3 linked regions of the Saccharomyces cerevisiae S288C genome follow. The main gene of each other region encodes a partner of the protein of the gene in region 3 in a complex. Each region holds a gene or a part of one and is shown on either strand. Other genes may lie near its edges. A codon is read from its position in the direction of its gene.

Evidence for each region. The genes of interacting proteins can lie anywhere in the genome.
Region 1: the proteins of CTF8 (region 3) and CTF18 are in contact, whole or in part, in a crystal structure (PDB 5OKC), measured with the Saccharomyces cerevisiae proteins. Residues at the interface, in NP_012061.3 of Saccharomyces cerevisiae: Pro2 (codon at 1,762), Ser3 (codon at 1,759), Val4 (codon at 1,756), Ile35 (codon at 1,663), Gln36 (codon at 1,660), Gly37 (codon at 1,657), Glu38 (codon at 1,654), Leu39 (codon at 1,651), Glu40 (codon at 1,648), Leu41 (codon at 1,645), Pro42 (codon at 1,642), Leu48 (codon at 1,624), Arg51 (codon at 1,615), Arg58 (codon at 1,594), Phe59 (codon at 1,591), Ile68 (codon at 1,564), Arg69 (codon at 1,561), Phe70 (codon at 1,558), Val84 (codon at 1,516), Gly85 (codon at 1,513), Lys86 (codon at 1,510), Gln88 (codon at 1,504), Leu90 (codon at 1,498), Phe106 (codon at 1,450), Asn107 (codon at 1,447), Ser108 (codon at 1,444), Asn111 (codon at 1,435), Lys112 (codon at 1,432), Val113 (codon at 1,429), Lys126 (codon at 1,390); in NP_013795.1 of Saccharomyces cerevisiae: Thr715 (codon at 3,801), Val716 (codon at 3,804), Lys717 (codon at 3,807), Ile718 (codon at 3,810), Trp719 (codon at 3,813), Val720 (codon at 3,816), Lys721 (codon at 3,819), Tyr722 (codon at 3,822), Asn723 (codon at 3,825), Glu724 (codon at 3,828), Gly725 (codon at 3,831), Phe726 (codon at 3,834), Trp736 (codon at 3,864), Leu739 (codon at 3,873), Trp740 (codon at 3,876), Glu741 (codon at 3,879).
Region 2: the proteins of CTF8 (region 3) and POL2 are in contact, whole or in part, in a cryo-EM structure (PDB 6S2F), measured with the Saccharomyces cerevisiae proteins. Residues at the interface, in NP_012061.3 of Saccharomyces cerevisiae: Glu40 (codon at 1,648), Lys87 (codon at 1,507), Gln88 (codon at 1,504), Arg128 (codon at 1,384), Leu130 (codon at 1,378), Pro131 (codon at 1,375), Met133 (codon at 1,369); in NP_014137.1 of Saccharomyces cerevisiae: Arg1025 (codon at 2,928), Met1036 (codon at 2,895), Leu1037 (codon at 2,892), Glu1038 (codon at 2,889), Glu1040 (codon at 2,883), Asp1041 (codon at 2,880).

The regions. Positions count from the first base shown.
Region 1 is NC_001145.3:422,003-426,386, reverse strand, and holds CTF18 (Ctf18p), read left to right. Parts: upstream 1-1,658; coding exon 1,659-3,884; downstream 3,885-4,384. Other genes in the region: phosphatidylinositol/phosphatidylcholine transfer protein SEC14, read right to left, coding at 328-1,233, 1,390-1,398; ESCRT-III subunit protein VPS20, read left to right, coding at 4,238-4,384. UniProt on the Saccharomyces cerevisiae protein: Essential for the fidelity of chromosome transmission. Required for the DNA replication block checkpoint.
Region 2 is NC_001146.8:146,673-154,211, reverse strand, and holds the start of POL2 (DNA polymerase epsilon catalytic subunit), read right to left. Parts: upstream 6,001-7,539; coding exon 1-6,000. Other genes in the region: protein transporter YIF1, read left to right, coding at 6,372-7,316. UniProt on the Saccharomyces cerevisiae protein: Catalytic component of the DNA polymerase epsilon complex which participates in chromosomal DNA replication.
Region 3 is NC_001140.6:484,867-488,241, forward strand, and holds CTF8 (Ctf8p), read right to left. Parts: upstream 1,766-3,375; coding exon 1,364-1,765; downstream 1-1,363. Other genes in the region: ERG9 (bifunctional farnesyl-diphosphate farnesyltransferase/squalene synthase), read left to right, coding at 1-1,313; LNP1 (Lnp1p), read left to right, coding at 1,960-2,796; EGD2 (Egd2p), read right to left, coding at 2,846-3,370. UniProt on the Saccharomyces cerevisiae protein: Essential for the fidelity of chromosome transmission. Required for the DNA replication block checkpoint.

The DNA.
Region 1 (4,384 bases), on a different chromosome or scaffold from region 3:
TATGTTCTTTTTATTGTTTAATACGTGCATATGTATTCTATAAGATAAATGTATATAACTGCCAACAAAATAAACTAAAATCAAGGTATGGCTGTAGAAAATGATACCACAGATAATAAAATAATAAATAATCTAATAGCTGAGTGGAAGAAAAAAAAAAAATAAAAAAAGAGTAGTACAAACTAAGGAGATAAAAGTGTGAACTATGCCTATTCAAAAAAGTAGAATAGAGTAAATAAGCATACTTGTACTTATCTCAGTTGTAAAATATCGTTACTTAGAACTCCTCTTTTCTCTCTCGAAAAAAAAATGTCTTTAAAAATAATATCATTTCATCGAAAAGGCTTCCGGAGCTTCACCTTCCGGTCCAATATACTTTGGATCCCTCCATGGACCGATATCGGATAGGTATAACCCACCCTTGGATTCATCAACTTCAGACTTACCGCCAAATTTGACTGGTAAGTTTTCAGCTGGAATTTGCTTTAATAATTCCTTCTGGTAAGAAGAACCCAAGATAAAAATCTTTGAAACAGTGACTGGATCCAAGAAAGGTTTAAATAGCCTAAATGCGGTAGAGAAACCGAATGGCGCGTTGATGATGTAAAATTTACCCATACGTTCGGGGTAATAGTTTTGACTTATGTAGGAGGCTTCCCTAACATATGACATAACACTGTATGCACTAGATATGGAGATACCTTTCAAATCCATAATTGTACATGAAGTTTCCACTAGGTGACCAGCAGCTCTTGAACAGGCAGGTAATCTGTATTGAACGACAGATTCGTATTCCCAAACCAAGTTTTTCAACATCCTCTCTTCAGAGGTAACCTTGTTCATTTCATGTAAGTTAACAGCACCTAATTCTTCAAAATATACTGGGCGGCCATCTTTATCGGTTTTATGATAATATTGTGGGTAGAATTTGGCAATCAATGGTTTTTCATCATAATGAAAATCTTGCAAGATAGTGTCGGTACCATAATCCTTCCTCCATTTTTCGCAGTTTTCAAACATTTCTTTAGCCAATTGAACATCAAATTTTCTGGCTCTCAAAAAACGTAGTAAAGTTGAATCGTCTAAACGTTCAATGAAACCAGCGTCTTCCAAAAGTTTTCTTAGTTCTGCCAATGCCTTCTCTTGAGCGCTGTCTAAATTTCCTGGAGTACCAGGCAAGGCATCTGGAGGACAGTTTTGAGGGTAGGATTCTAAAAATTCCTTTTCTTGTTGCTATTTAAAGTGAAGTCATAGTAATACCACTTGTGTTTGTTAGTAAACTTATTGATATATCATTTTTGCTTCATATAGACAGAACTATCTGAAGAATGTGAATATTGTCACAATGAATGTCAAAAAAAGAAAAAGTAAATAAAAGCAACAACATACTGTAACCATTGTGTTTTAGGGCGATGAAGGTTTGGTTTGATGCTACAGGCGCTGGTCAAGCGATATACCAGGAAAGGACACTTAAGACACAAACAAAGGAAGATGTACCATTTTATTGTTGATCAACGTTGAAAAAAAAAATGTGGAAAAAACGAACTAGCCAGTCGCGTTGTACGGAACATCTAACACGTAAATAAACATGATTTCATATATTTTATTCCTAATGTGTACACTATTTGACCCAAAAGGTGGATGTAAGGTCAGGGATCATGGTTGATACCGCACCATACATTGGTTCACTAGGGAGAAGTTCCCTTTTTGATACTGGTGATATAGAACAAGCCCCTGGTAATAATGCAATTGGTATTAATGAGGAAGATATTCACGCGTTTGTATCAAGTACTGGCGAAACGGTTCAATTAAAGAAGAAGCCTGCGAAGTTAGCAACCGGGAATATTAGTCTATACACTAACCCAGATACTGTTTGGAGATCAGACGACACGTACGGCATCAATATAAACTATTTGTTAGACAAAATTGAGGCATCTGGCGATGACCGCACTAACGCACAAAAGACTTCACCTATAACTGGCAAGATAGGTAGCGACACACTCTGGGTAGAGAAATGGCGTCCTAAAAAATTTCTAGATTTGGTTGGTAATGAAAAGACAAACAGGAGAATGTTAGGTTGGTTGAGACAATGGACGCCGGCTGTGTTTAAAGAGCAATTACCCAAATTGCCAACCGAAAAAGAGGTCAGTGATATGGAACTCGATCCATTGAAAAGGCCACCAAAGAAAATTTTACTACTGCACGGGCCACCAGGAATAGGCAAAACCTCAGTAGCTCACGTTATTGCCAAACAATCAGGGTTTTCTGTCTCAGAAATCAATGCAAGTGATGAAAGGGCTGGACCTATGGTAAAAGAGAAAATATATAATCTTTTATTCAATCATACTTTCGATACAAATCCTGTGTGCTTAGTGGCGGATGAGATTGATGGAAGTATTGAGAGTGGATTTATTAGAATTTTAGTTGACATTATGCAAAGCGATATTAAAGCCACTAATAAACTATTATACGGTCAACCAGATAAAAAGGACAAAAAGCGCAAAAAGAAAAGGTCTAAATTGCTTACGCGACCTATTATTTGTATTTGCAATAATCTATATGCTCCTTCTTTGGAAAAGCTGAAACCATTCTGTGAAATTATTGCTGTGAAAAGACCTTCCGATACTACCCTACTAGAGCGATTGAACCTTATCTGCCATAAAGAAAACATGAATATTCCTATAAAAGCAATCAATGACTTAATTGATTTGGCTCAAGGTGACGTAAGGAATTGTATAAACAATTTACAATTCTTGGCCTCGAATGTTGATTCAAGAGATTCCTCTGCATCAGATAAACCTGCTTGTGCAAAAAATACGTGGGCGTCATCCAACAAGGACTCCCCCATATCATGGTTTAAAATCGTGAACCAATTGTTTAGAAAGGATCCACATCGTGATATAAAGGAGCAGTTTTATGAATTGCTAAACCAAGTAGAGCTTAATGGTAACTCTGACAGGATATTGCAAGGCTGTTTTAATATATTTCCCTACGTAAAATATTCCGACAATGGTATAAGAAAGCCAGCAAACATTTCAGATTGGCTATTTTTCCATGATTTAATGTACCAATCAATGTATGCGCATAATGGCGAATTGTTACGTTACTCCGCCCTTGTGCCCCTAGTCTTCTTCCAAACGTTTGGCGATATCGCAAACAAAGATGATATTAGAATGAAGAATAGTGAATACGAACAACGTGAATTAAAACGAGCCAATTCAGATATAGTTAGTCTGATTATGAGACATATCTCGGTTCAGTCCCCACTAATGGCAAGTTTTACGGATAGAAAATCGTTAATCTTTGAAATACTACCATATCTAGATTCGATGATCTCTTCCGATTTTAATAAAATAAGGAACCTGAAACTCAAACAAGCCATCATGGAGGAATTAGTTCAATTGCTGAAAAGCTTTCAACTGAATCTAATCCAAAATCGGTCAGAAGGATTTGATGTAAGGGGTGGCCTAACAATCGATCCCCCAATCGATGAAGTCGTATTGTTAAATCCTAAACATATTAACGAAGTCCAACATAAACGGGCTAATAATTTGAGTTCACTGTTAGCAAAGATTGAGGAAAACCGGGCCAAGAAAAGGCATATAGACCAAGTGACTGAGGATAGACTACAGTCACAGGAAATGCATAGCAAAAAAGTCAAAACTGGGTTAAATTCTTCCTCAAGTACAATCGACTTTTTCAAGAATCAGTACGGATTATTGAAGCAAACTCAGGAATTGGAAGAGACACAAAAAACTATTGGATCAGACGAAACCAACCAAGCAGATGACTGCAATCAAACGGTTAAAATATGGGTGAAATACAATGAGGGGTTCTCTAACGCTGTCAGGAAAAATGTGACTTGGAATAACCTGTGGGAATAAATGACGTAAGATATATACGCAGTCTCTCTTAAGAAGCATACTTGTATATGGACCAGCAGCTTACATAGAAATCTAAAAGAAGTAAATAAAGAACATTAGCAATCAATCCTGCCGGTAGTCGCAACAGCTCCGATTTTGTCACGCAGCGTTCGTTTTTTATTCGTGATCTTTTACCCTCTTCGCTATCGTTCTTATTTCTACATAAATGGAACCCCGAAGAGCAGAAAGACCGAAAATCGAATTACTATCTGTGGGATACAATATAGCGCATAGAAAAGAACAAAACATAGATAGTTTGGAAAAATAGTACAGACTGCTGAATTAACTCCACTTGGTGCTTTTGTATATATCGAATGGGCCAAAAAAGTAGTAAAGTGCATATAACCAAAACAGATAGGGCGATCCTAGAAGTAAAACGATCTAAAGATGAAATTCATAAGTTTACGAGGAGGACAGATAATTTGATTTTGGTAGAGAAGAGTCAACTAAAAGACCTAATA
Region 2 (7,539 bases), on a different chromosome or scaffold from region 3:
CAACGAGTTTTCAACACTATCTTCCTTATCTTGTTTTTTTACATTAACTATTTGGGTAGGTCTTTGCGTCCCTGAATTCAATTTTAGATAGCTCTGCTTTGTCTTTAGCATACTATCCAATATGATCATCATCCAATCCTCAAATTCGGGCTGATATATTGGTGACAGAAACTTCTTTAGTTGCCATTGCGAAACAGCGGTATAATCCTGATTTTCCTTTTCCTCTATTTCAATACATGCTAATCCACTAAAATTAAACTTATCCATCCATATTAGCAGATCCCAATAACGTTTGATATTTAAGTCCAGATAACTAAACATTGGATTTGTTCTAACTGCCTTCATCATATATTGGCTGTAGGCGTAACAGTTTTCAGGTGAGTACTTGTTTGTCTTTATTAGAATTTGATTCCTGTCTGCATATACAATAGTTGAGCCAAGTGCACTAAATTCATTTACTAATTGAAGTAAGGCTTTTTTTGTTAAGTTATGAACGTGATATCTTAGTAATCCGTCGAATAGTTTCGCATTCGGGTTTTGAACCCAACTTGCCAGGGAATTTACCAACAAATCTGCGGTTGAATTTTCTTTTAGGGCCTCATCCCACCACTCCTTTAACATACCTCTTAAAACATTCAAAGCGTCATTAGAAAAGGCGTCGTGCACGAATTCAGATGGCGAGTTAATAACGGCATCTTTGTCATCTATACCCATATTATTGTTAACTAGATCACTGCCTTCAGCATCATTGATTAATGCTGATGTCAAAATTGTGTTCACTGTTAAATTATCAACACCAACATCGAGAACTACATTGTCATACACACCTGAGTTATTAATTTTGGGAAATTCTGAATCATTCATTATCCATGATGTATTTAAATCAAAATCATTTTGAATGCCTCCATGATCTGGAAGTGGAGCTTTCTCATTCCACCAAAGCACGATGTTCTCTTTTTTTAGTTTTCTTGCATAAAGAACATCAATAATATAATCCATACTATCCAGCCTCAAATTACAGATTGGAATGTTACTATACTGGGATAACTTGATCAAGTGAGAAATCCACGAACCACTGGATAAAACGTGGTTAACAAGTTTCTTCAATAATGTCGGTTGCCAGTTCAATTGGGGTAGAAGAACTTCATTCAAGGAAAGCTTAACAATGGGCATCTGGTTTAGAAGCCGGATTGTGCCTAAGAGCTTAGTGATAAACGGAGATTGTAACAAGAGTAAAAACTGCAGACCTCTTTCTTCTTTTAATTTAGTAGTTTCCTGTGATAGTCTTCTGTACAATTTTGAGATATCTGTAAAATATACAAACTCAAAATTGATATCTTCTTTAATATCAACCAAGTAAGAATATGTTTCTATTTTACCTTTCTTTTTTTCAAACATTTGTTTGTATATTTGTCCTAATGATGAGGCATTTATTTCCTGAGCCTGGTTGGATGGTTTCAAAACTAATATAGTAATAGTATCTCCCCATGACTTGAATAATGAAAAAAATTCATACCCAATTGATGTTGGGAAATGTAGTAAATAGCCAATGTCCATTGAAAATCCACTCAGATACCTTTCATTTTCCGCCATTGAAAGATCCTTCATTTCAAAACCCTGCTGTATTCCCTTGCCTAACGCACCCATTGCTTTTGAGCGGAACGTTACCGAAGCTCCCAAATCCATGATCGCTCTTTGATGAGGAGTGATAGTGCCCTCAAATACACCAAGTACATTTTCATCGTTGAAGATACTAGTGCAGTTTTCCTTTTCTTCCAGAAAGACAGATTCCGGTAGAGTAATTTTGAATAGCTGACCGCCTGCTGGATTAGACGTTTTGGGATTATTTGGTAACGATGCAGAAGATTTTTCAATAAGGCAATTCTTAATCTTTTGTAGCGGCATTGTTTGAGATTTGAATTTCATATAAATAGTTTTTGGTATATGGAAGGTGATGTTCTGGACTTTGCCATTAATTGTTACAAATACTTCCAAAACCCCTGGCTCACCGGAATCCTTGTATTGTAAGACCTCCCAAGTGGAGTTCGCATATGATTCAGCTTGCTTCCTAATCATACTTCCTAGTGCACTTCTTTCACGGGAGCTGTTTGTATTACCAAATAATTGGTCTCGACGCTTTCTATCTCTTGCTTGGATTTTCCATTTAATTTTTTGATAATTTAGCCACCCAACATAGTCCTCGTCCATGGAAGGAATCTCCGAGGGCAATACTAGTGGATCTTCTTCATTTGTAAGCTGATTTCTTTTCCTCTTGGATACGGCTTTCTTTTTAGTAGTTCTTGCAATTTTAATTTTGGCGTTATCTTCTTCTACAGTTGGTTCAAACAAATCCTCGATATCTTTTATCTTGCCCATTGTTGGTACATTCTTTGTCTTCGAAAAAAATTTGGTTAGTGAAGTCTGCTTAAACTTATCCTCCTTTGTAGCGATTTTTCTTTTTAGCCAATCTGGATGTTCAACCCTTGGAACAGGATTGGAAACCCCTTGTAATGCTGCTGGAATAGTAATTATCTTTTGTATAGCAGATCCAAGTCTTTCTCTATAATAACCCCAATCGATTATGGTTCTGATATCCAGATCTTCCAAAGATGGATCTAATGTCCATCGCCTCAGAAAAGACCTTTTGATGGGAATGTCCGCTGAAAATATTGCGACTGGAATGGCTCGTTCAGTAACAGGTGCATTGAAAGGTTTTGAACTAATAATATATTTACATTGTAGACCTTTATCTTTTACCATATCTTCACCCAAAAAATCCCCCAATCTCCTTGCCGTCGTAATAGAAGTAGATTTTTGCCCTTCATATTCCTTTAAAGTTTTTGACATACTTCTATTTTCACAAATCAAACTGACCAAGTCTTCATCTTCTAACATAAGACCATGTGAATCAAGAACATCTAACCAACGGTTACATACGCTTGCTACAGCACTGTAACATCCTTCTAATGTATCACCTTCCAAAAAGACCTTGAAAATATCACTTTGAAAATTTTTTATTAGTTGTAATTCACCACGCCTCTTCAATTCAAAACCTTTCAGTTCAGCAAGTGAGCCGTCTTCATTGAAGACAGCATATCTTTTCTTTATACCTTTTCCTTCTTCCTTGGAACTAGGCAAAATCATGGCCTTATATGGTCCGTCAACTTCGAAAAAAATCGTGTTTTCACTGTGCGTCTCATATATATAGTTCAATGGGTCTTTTAATTCTTGGTATTGGTGATTCGTAAACTTTTGGTGAACTCTGTAATTCAGCATGGAACATGGGTAGGAGAGATAAAGCTTTTTACCATTTTCTAATGTAAAAAAGTAAGTTTCAGGGAAAGATTTTGGTAAGATACACCAAATACCATCAGTATCTAATTCTAATGGTCTTCCTACCCTTTCTACTAAAGCTCTCGCCATTTGAATGATCGTGGCACCTGTTAAACACGTAATCCCCGCCATTTCCATGGAATACCAACGAGAGCCTTTCCTCATAACATACCCATAAAACGAATTCAAAATAACTTTGTGAGCTAATTGTAATGAGTCATAAAGCACAATCATCTTTTTGGCCTCGTCTCTCGCATGCTTATCAGATGGGTCAATTTTGGACAGATTTCCCTTCCAAGTCTTGGCTAAACCTTTGAATTCGTAACGCCTATCACGAAAGGATTTCACGGTATCGACGTAGAATGGATTTTCTCTTTGGCAGACAATGGCTTCTCGTTCGACAATTTCTGATACTTTAACCCTATGATAAACTTTCCTTGAATATTCAGTTAAACGTTTTTTTATGTGGATAACTTGGTCTGCGTAACTTAGTTCATCAAATGTCAAAACTTTCTTTTTAGAAAACTTGTTTTTGTTGGGAAAAGTCTCATTTTGTAATGCACGCTTGATCATGTTATACTCATCCATCTTACTGGGAAAGAATTCTCCTCTCCAAGCCCATTTTAACTTTCTTGCACAGGTTTTTCCGGGTCTATTAAAATCGCAACTAGCACAATCGCGCTCTGCTTTGATACTATCTGGTTGTAGTCTATTTGTAGTCATGATGTTTGGGTACATAGAGGCGACATCTACATGATAGATCAAAGGTAGTTCGTTTCTTATATTGTTTTCCTTCAACTCTAATAATTTCTGCGTTATCTGGTTTTTTATTTCCTCAAAATTCGTTACTTTATCTACACTGGACTTATTTTCAACTTCCACACTAAATTTCAAAGCTTCTGGTAATTCTTGTAATAATTCATCAATGGCAGAAGGATCTATCTTGAATTCATTCTTCAAATCACTCCTAAAAACACCAGCTTCTAATGACTCCACATGTCCACCCACGTAAGTCTCGGATTCTAGAAGATGTCCATCATAGAACCTCTCAATGGGATCTGTATGCTTATTTGGTAGAAGAATATTATGTTGATAAGCTTGAACCATCAACAACATTTCACACAAAGTACCGGTACCCTTTCTCAATGTTTCATCCGGGTTCAAAGGAATAATAGTACAAAGGGAAAAGATAAAAGGATGAACATATTTCATGTAAAGGTAATACGTAGCGACTGCATCGGAAACAGAATATTCGGAAAGGTGCTGTGGCTTTTCAAATGCATACGGCGTCATTAATTCGGGATCCAGTTCAATTGGGTTATAACCTAGCTTAGATTGAGTAACAGCTTTTAAACCCTGGGAACCTTGTGGTAAATAAGAATCACGCTTCACCCAACGGAAACAATCCATGTGAGAGCAGTATGAGGACTTGTACTCACCTTCAGCATCTGGAGCGAAACCAATTTCATCGAACATGTCCAAGCCGTGAATCTTACTTCTGTTATGTATAAAAGGCCAATCGAAAAAGTCACCATTGAAGGTGGATATAACAGTGGGTCGTACATCTCTTATATGTTCAAAAAACCTTTGTAGAAGCGCCACTTCATCGTTTTCGTTAAATATGGTGAAAAAACCAGGATACTCCGGTTTCGGTGTATACTCAAAGTCTTCAATATCCTCAGAGATTATCTCCCTATTTGTTATCAAAAAACCTTCCCCATCGATCATATACGAAATCATCATTATTTGATCTACGGCGGAATCCGGGAATTTTAAAGGCGGCTTCGTGGTTTCTATATCAAATGCCATTACCACAGGGTCGGCAAATGCAATTTTCCTAGTATCTTCAATGAATCCCTGTTGAGTTACCTTATACCATTTACCGACTCTAATGTCCTTGTCTATAGATACTCGGACATGATACGGCACATCATATTCCCTGATATCTTCGATCAGATGTTTGGCGTCAACTTTTTCCGAGCCATTTGCAGCAACGTTATATATATTTCTTTGCACATTATTATTGGCATTATCCTGCAAGATTGGCCTCAGGAGTTTCCTGGCCTCGAATAACTGATTGGAATTTACAAATGATAACTTAATAAGTGTCTTCTGCAGCCCTAAAAGGTGATTGTCCATGGTAAGATCTTCCTTTCTAATGATTTGTAAGCTTTTGAGACAAGATTCCAGATATTTTTTCACTAGTTCCTCCACATCATTTACTCTTGATTCATCGTTACACGCAATAAAGAAGTATGGGTCATAGACAACTGTCGACTTGAAGCTCCCACCCTCTTCATCTAAAAAGTAGAAGTCAACTCCGGAAATACCTTGGTTGGTCGTTACACGTTCTCCGTCATTCGAATTGCCGCCGCCATTACTACCACTGGATAAGGTTTCCTGAGAGACCAGCGTTGCGTGCATGTTCGTCAGCCACCCTACGCGGCCTGGAATCTGATCTATATCCTTCGCATCAAACCTGCCATTGTATTGCGGCGGTACGTATCTTTCAAATCCCATCATCGAATCGATGTCATCGATCTTACTAGCATTTAAGAGCTGTTGCGCGCTAAGCGCATAATTATTTGAGAGTGTGTTGTACTTGTTGCCAGCTGAATATCTTGCAGTGGAAGATCCTCCGTTGTTTTTTTTCTTGCCAAACATCATATACTTGTCCCCTGAGAGTGTTATCTTGATAGAATGTGCTCTTTCATCATCATATGCTCTTTTTGATAGGTCCTCTTCCAGTTAAAATGGTAAAAGATGCAAGAAACTTACGCGTTCTGGTTACCCTACCTGAAAATAAACCATTCTGACAATTCAAATGACAATAAACTTGGGCCTTTGACGAACACTGACAGTGTTACTATTACTTTTTCTCAGTGCTAAAACAGCATATCCGAGACTCTGTATCAAGATCCATATTGCACACCAGAGCTGTTGTTTTATACTACAACTCATCTTTTTGACTTTTCGATTGTAAGACCTCGCTACTGAGTATCAATAGCAGAAAACGAAAACCAAAGGCCCATACCAAGATGTCTTATAATCCGTACGCATATGCAACAAGTGAGCAGAATGGCGTTAACGATCGCTTTTCCCACACTCCACAACAGCAACGACCAATGCAAATTCCGAGGAACACGCCCGTGAATGGCCAAGGTAATGCGAATATGAATGCAAACGTAAATGGCAGTGGCGGTGGTTTTCCATTCCAAGATCCTCGTGGTTCGATGGCATTCCAACTAGGGCAGAGCGCATTTTCTAATTTTATTGGTCAGGATAACTTTAACCAGTTTCAAGAAACGGTCAATAAAGCCACTGCAAACGCTGCCGGCTCTCAACAAATTTCAACGTATTTTCAAGTCAGCACCCGTTATGTCATCAATAAATTGAAACTCATCCTAGTTCCTTTTCTTAACGGAACCAAGAACTGGCAACGAATTATGGACTCTGGCAACTTTTTGCCACCAAGGGATGACGTGAACTCCCCAGACATGTACATGCCTATTATGGGACTAGTTACCTATATTCTCATCTGGAATACGCAGCAAGGTCTGAAGGGTTCATTCAACCCCGAAGACTTGTACTACAAACTGTCTTCTACTCTGGCGTTTGTGTGTTTAGATTTGTTGATTTTGAAGCTTGGCTTGTATCTTTTGATCGATTCTAAGATTCCAAGCTTCAGTTTGGTCGAACTGTTGTGCTATGTCGGCTACAAATTTGTTCCATTGATTCTCGCCCAGCTTTTGACCAACGTGACCATGCCATTTAACCTGAATATTTTGATAAAATTTTACTTATTTATTGCCTTTGGCGTATTCCTACTAAGATCCGTCAAGTTCAATTTACTAAGCCGCTCCGGTGCTGAAGACGATGATATACACGTTTCCATCAGCAAATCGACCGTCAAGAAGTGCAATTACTTCCTATTCGTCTATGGCTTCATTTGGCAAAATGTTCTAATGTGGTTAATGGGTTGATCTTGATTGAAGAGATCAAAGAGAGGATTTAATTTCATGCGCATTATTATTATCTACGGTCAATTTGTTAAATACTTATATACTTTTATTCCTACGTCATAAATTTTCTATTTACTTTTCTTATTTTTCCTTTCACTCAATATGGAGTGGAAAGAGAACAATAGAGGGATTAAAATTCGTGGGAAAAATCACGCTTTTTAGATAGATTTAATTTACATCATTG
Region 3 (3,375 bases):
CATTGCATCCGGTCGAGATGAAGGCAGCTTTGAAGCTGAAGTTTTGCAGAACACCGCTATTCTCCATCTATGATCAGTCCACGTCTCCATATCTCTTGCACTGTTTCGAACTGTTGAACTTGACCTCCAGATCGTTTGCTGCTGTGATCAGAGAGCTGCATCCAGAATTGAGAAACTGTGTTACTCTCTTTTATTTGATTTTAAGGGCTTTGGATACCATCGAAGACGATATGTCCATCGAACACGATTTGAAAATTGACTTGTTGCGTCACTTCCACGAGAAATTGTTGTTAACTAAATGGAGTTTCGACGGAAATGCCCCCGATGTGAAGGACAGAGCCGTTTTGACAGATTTCGAATCGATTCTTATTGAATTCCACAAATTGAAACCAGAATATCAAGAAGTCATCAAGGAGATCACCGAGAAAATGGGTAATGGTATGGCCGACTACATCTTAGATGAAAATTACAACTTGAATGGGTTGCAAACCGTCCACGACTACGACGTGTACTGTCACTACGTAGCTGGTTTGGTCGGTGATGGTTTGACCCGTTTGATTGTCATTGCCAAGTTTGCCAACGAATCTTTGTATTCTAATGAGCAATTGTATGAAAGCATGGGTCTTTTCCTACAAAAAACCAACATCATCAGAGATTACAATGAAGATTTGGTCGATGGTAGATCCTTCTGGCCCAAGGAAATCTGGTCACAATACGCTCCTCAGTTGAAGGACTTCATGAAACCTGAAAACGAACAACTGGGGTTGGACTGTATAAACCACCTCGTCTTAAACGCATTGAGTCATGTTATCGATGTGTTGACTTATTTGGCCGGTATCCACGAGCAATCCACTTTCCAATTTTGTGCCATTCCCCAAGTTATGGCCATTGCAACCTTGGCTTTGGTATTCAACAACCGTGAAGTGCTACATGGCAATGTAAAGATTCGTAAGGGTACTACCTGCTATTTAATTTTGAAATCAAGGACTTTGCGTGGCTGTGTCGAGATTTTTGACTATTACTTACGTGATATCAAATCTAAATTGGCTGTGCAAGATCCAAATTTCTTAAAATTGAACATTCAAATCTCCAAGATCGAACAGTTTATGGAAGAAATGTACCAGGATAAATTACCTCCTAACGTGAAGCCAAATGAAACTCCAATTTTCTTGAAAGTTAAAGAAAGATCCAGATACGATGATGAATTGGTTCCAACCCAACAAGAAGAAGAGTACAAGTTCAATATGGTTTTATCTATCATCTTGTCCGTTCTTCTTGGGTTTTATTATATATACACTTTACACAGAGCGTGAAGTCTGCGCCAAATAACATAAACAAACAACTCCGAACAATAACTAAGTACTTACATAATAGGTAGAGGCCTATCCTTAAAGATAACCTTATATTTCATTACATCAACTAATTCGACCTTATTATCTTTCGAATTGAAATGCATTATACCCATCGGTACGTCTAGCTTTGTCACCTTCCCCAGTAAACGCTGTTTCTTGCCGACAAACAATGTGGCCCTCTCTCCGTCAATCTGTAACGACCCAAATCGTATTAAAGTTTCGCCGTCCTGTTCACTGAACCTTCCCTCATTTGGAGAATCTCTCCTCGCCAGCGACGCAAAGTCCTTAGGCAACTCTAGTTCACCTTGAATCTCCAGCATCATCATCCCAAGCGGTGTTATCACCGTGGTCTGCTTTTCTCTTGACTGTGTCAACTTCTGCCATTGACTAGCATCTATATCTACACTAGGCATTCTTTTCAGCTGTTTATTGGGCTGAATGATAGTGATAATTCTTTTTTCTATCACTCCTTTGGCTATATTAGTGGTTAGCTTACTAAAAAAGATTAAAGGAAAAATGAAATTCAAGATGCTAACGTTGACATGTATATTTTAAGAAAACAAAAATCATACAAAGAGGAGATCGGATATAAAAGAATAACATAAATATGTTTAGTGCATTAGGTAAATGGGTCCGAGGCTCTCGCAATGATAAGGACTTTGTGACGAAGTATACCGCAGATTTATCACAAATAACTTCACAGATCCATCAATTAGATGTCGCGTTAAAGAAAAGCCAATCCATCTTGAGTCAATGGCAATCAAATCTGACCTTTTATGGTATTGCGTTAACGGTATTGGCCCTGAGCTACACATATTGGGAGTACCATGGTTATCGACCATACCTTGTGGTGACTGCGCTACTATGCATAGGCTCGCTAATCTTGTTCAAATGGGCATTAACCAAACTCTATGCATTTTATAACAACAATAGGTTACGCAAGTTGGCAAAACTCCGTGCAATTCATCAAAAGAAACTGGAAAAGTTAAAGGAAGAGACCCACTATAATGCTACAAGCTCAATCATCCAACGGTTTTCTTCCGGTGAAGATCAAAACGACGATGCCATGGTACTTCTAGATGATGAATTAAATGCTAAATACCAAGAATTAAACAATCTAAAGACAGAGCTAGAAAAATTTAAGAAGGAAAGCCATGTAAAGGGCCTAAAGAAGGAAGACAGCGATGCATGGTTCGACAAAATCATCAGCGTACTGGCAGGCGGTAATGAATTGGACTCAACAAGTTCGCTCTCTCCCTTCAAAAAAATCATATGTCCACAGTGTCATTGGAAATCCAATTGCTACAGATTGGCCAGTAAGCCAATCATCTTTATCTGTCCTCACTGTAACCACAAAATAGACGAAGTAAAGGAAAGAGAAGACGCCATTGAAGCAAAACAACCGGCACAGCCTTCGCAGTCGGAGAAGGAAAAAACAAAATGATTTTGCGTTAGAATAACTACGTACCCCTATATAATATATTTTTATATCATTATTTAGACAAGGACATGATAGCGTTGACTAAGTCACCATTGTGAGCTTTCAGGGCTTTGATGGCTTGGTTTTTGGAAACGTTAGTTTGTTGAACGACTAACTCGATATCATCCTTATTCAAGTCACCGGCATCAACTTCACCTTCTTCGTCATCTTCTTCTGCTGCGGCGTTGACACTGCCTTCTGCGGCGGCTTGCATGTCAGCTTGGATGTCTTCTGGGGACTTGGTAGCGACGTCTTCGTTAGATGGCATAATACCGCTAGCTTGAGCTTGTTGTTGAGCAGCGGCTAGCTTTTGGGTAAAGTTGTCAACCTTAGCTTCACCGAAGACAACGTAGTTACCACCGGCAGATCTGAAGACTTCTGGCTTTTCAATAGCATAGATTTGGTTGTCCTTCTTCCTGAAAGTGACTCTGATGATACCTGGGATTTGCTTCAAACCCAATTTGCCAATCAATTCTCTGGCTTTCTTTTCGTTCTTGTTTAAGACGGTAACGTTGGCGTTTTCTGGGATAGCAGACATTATCA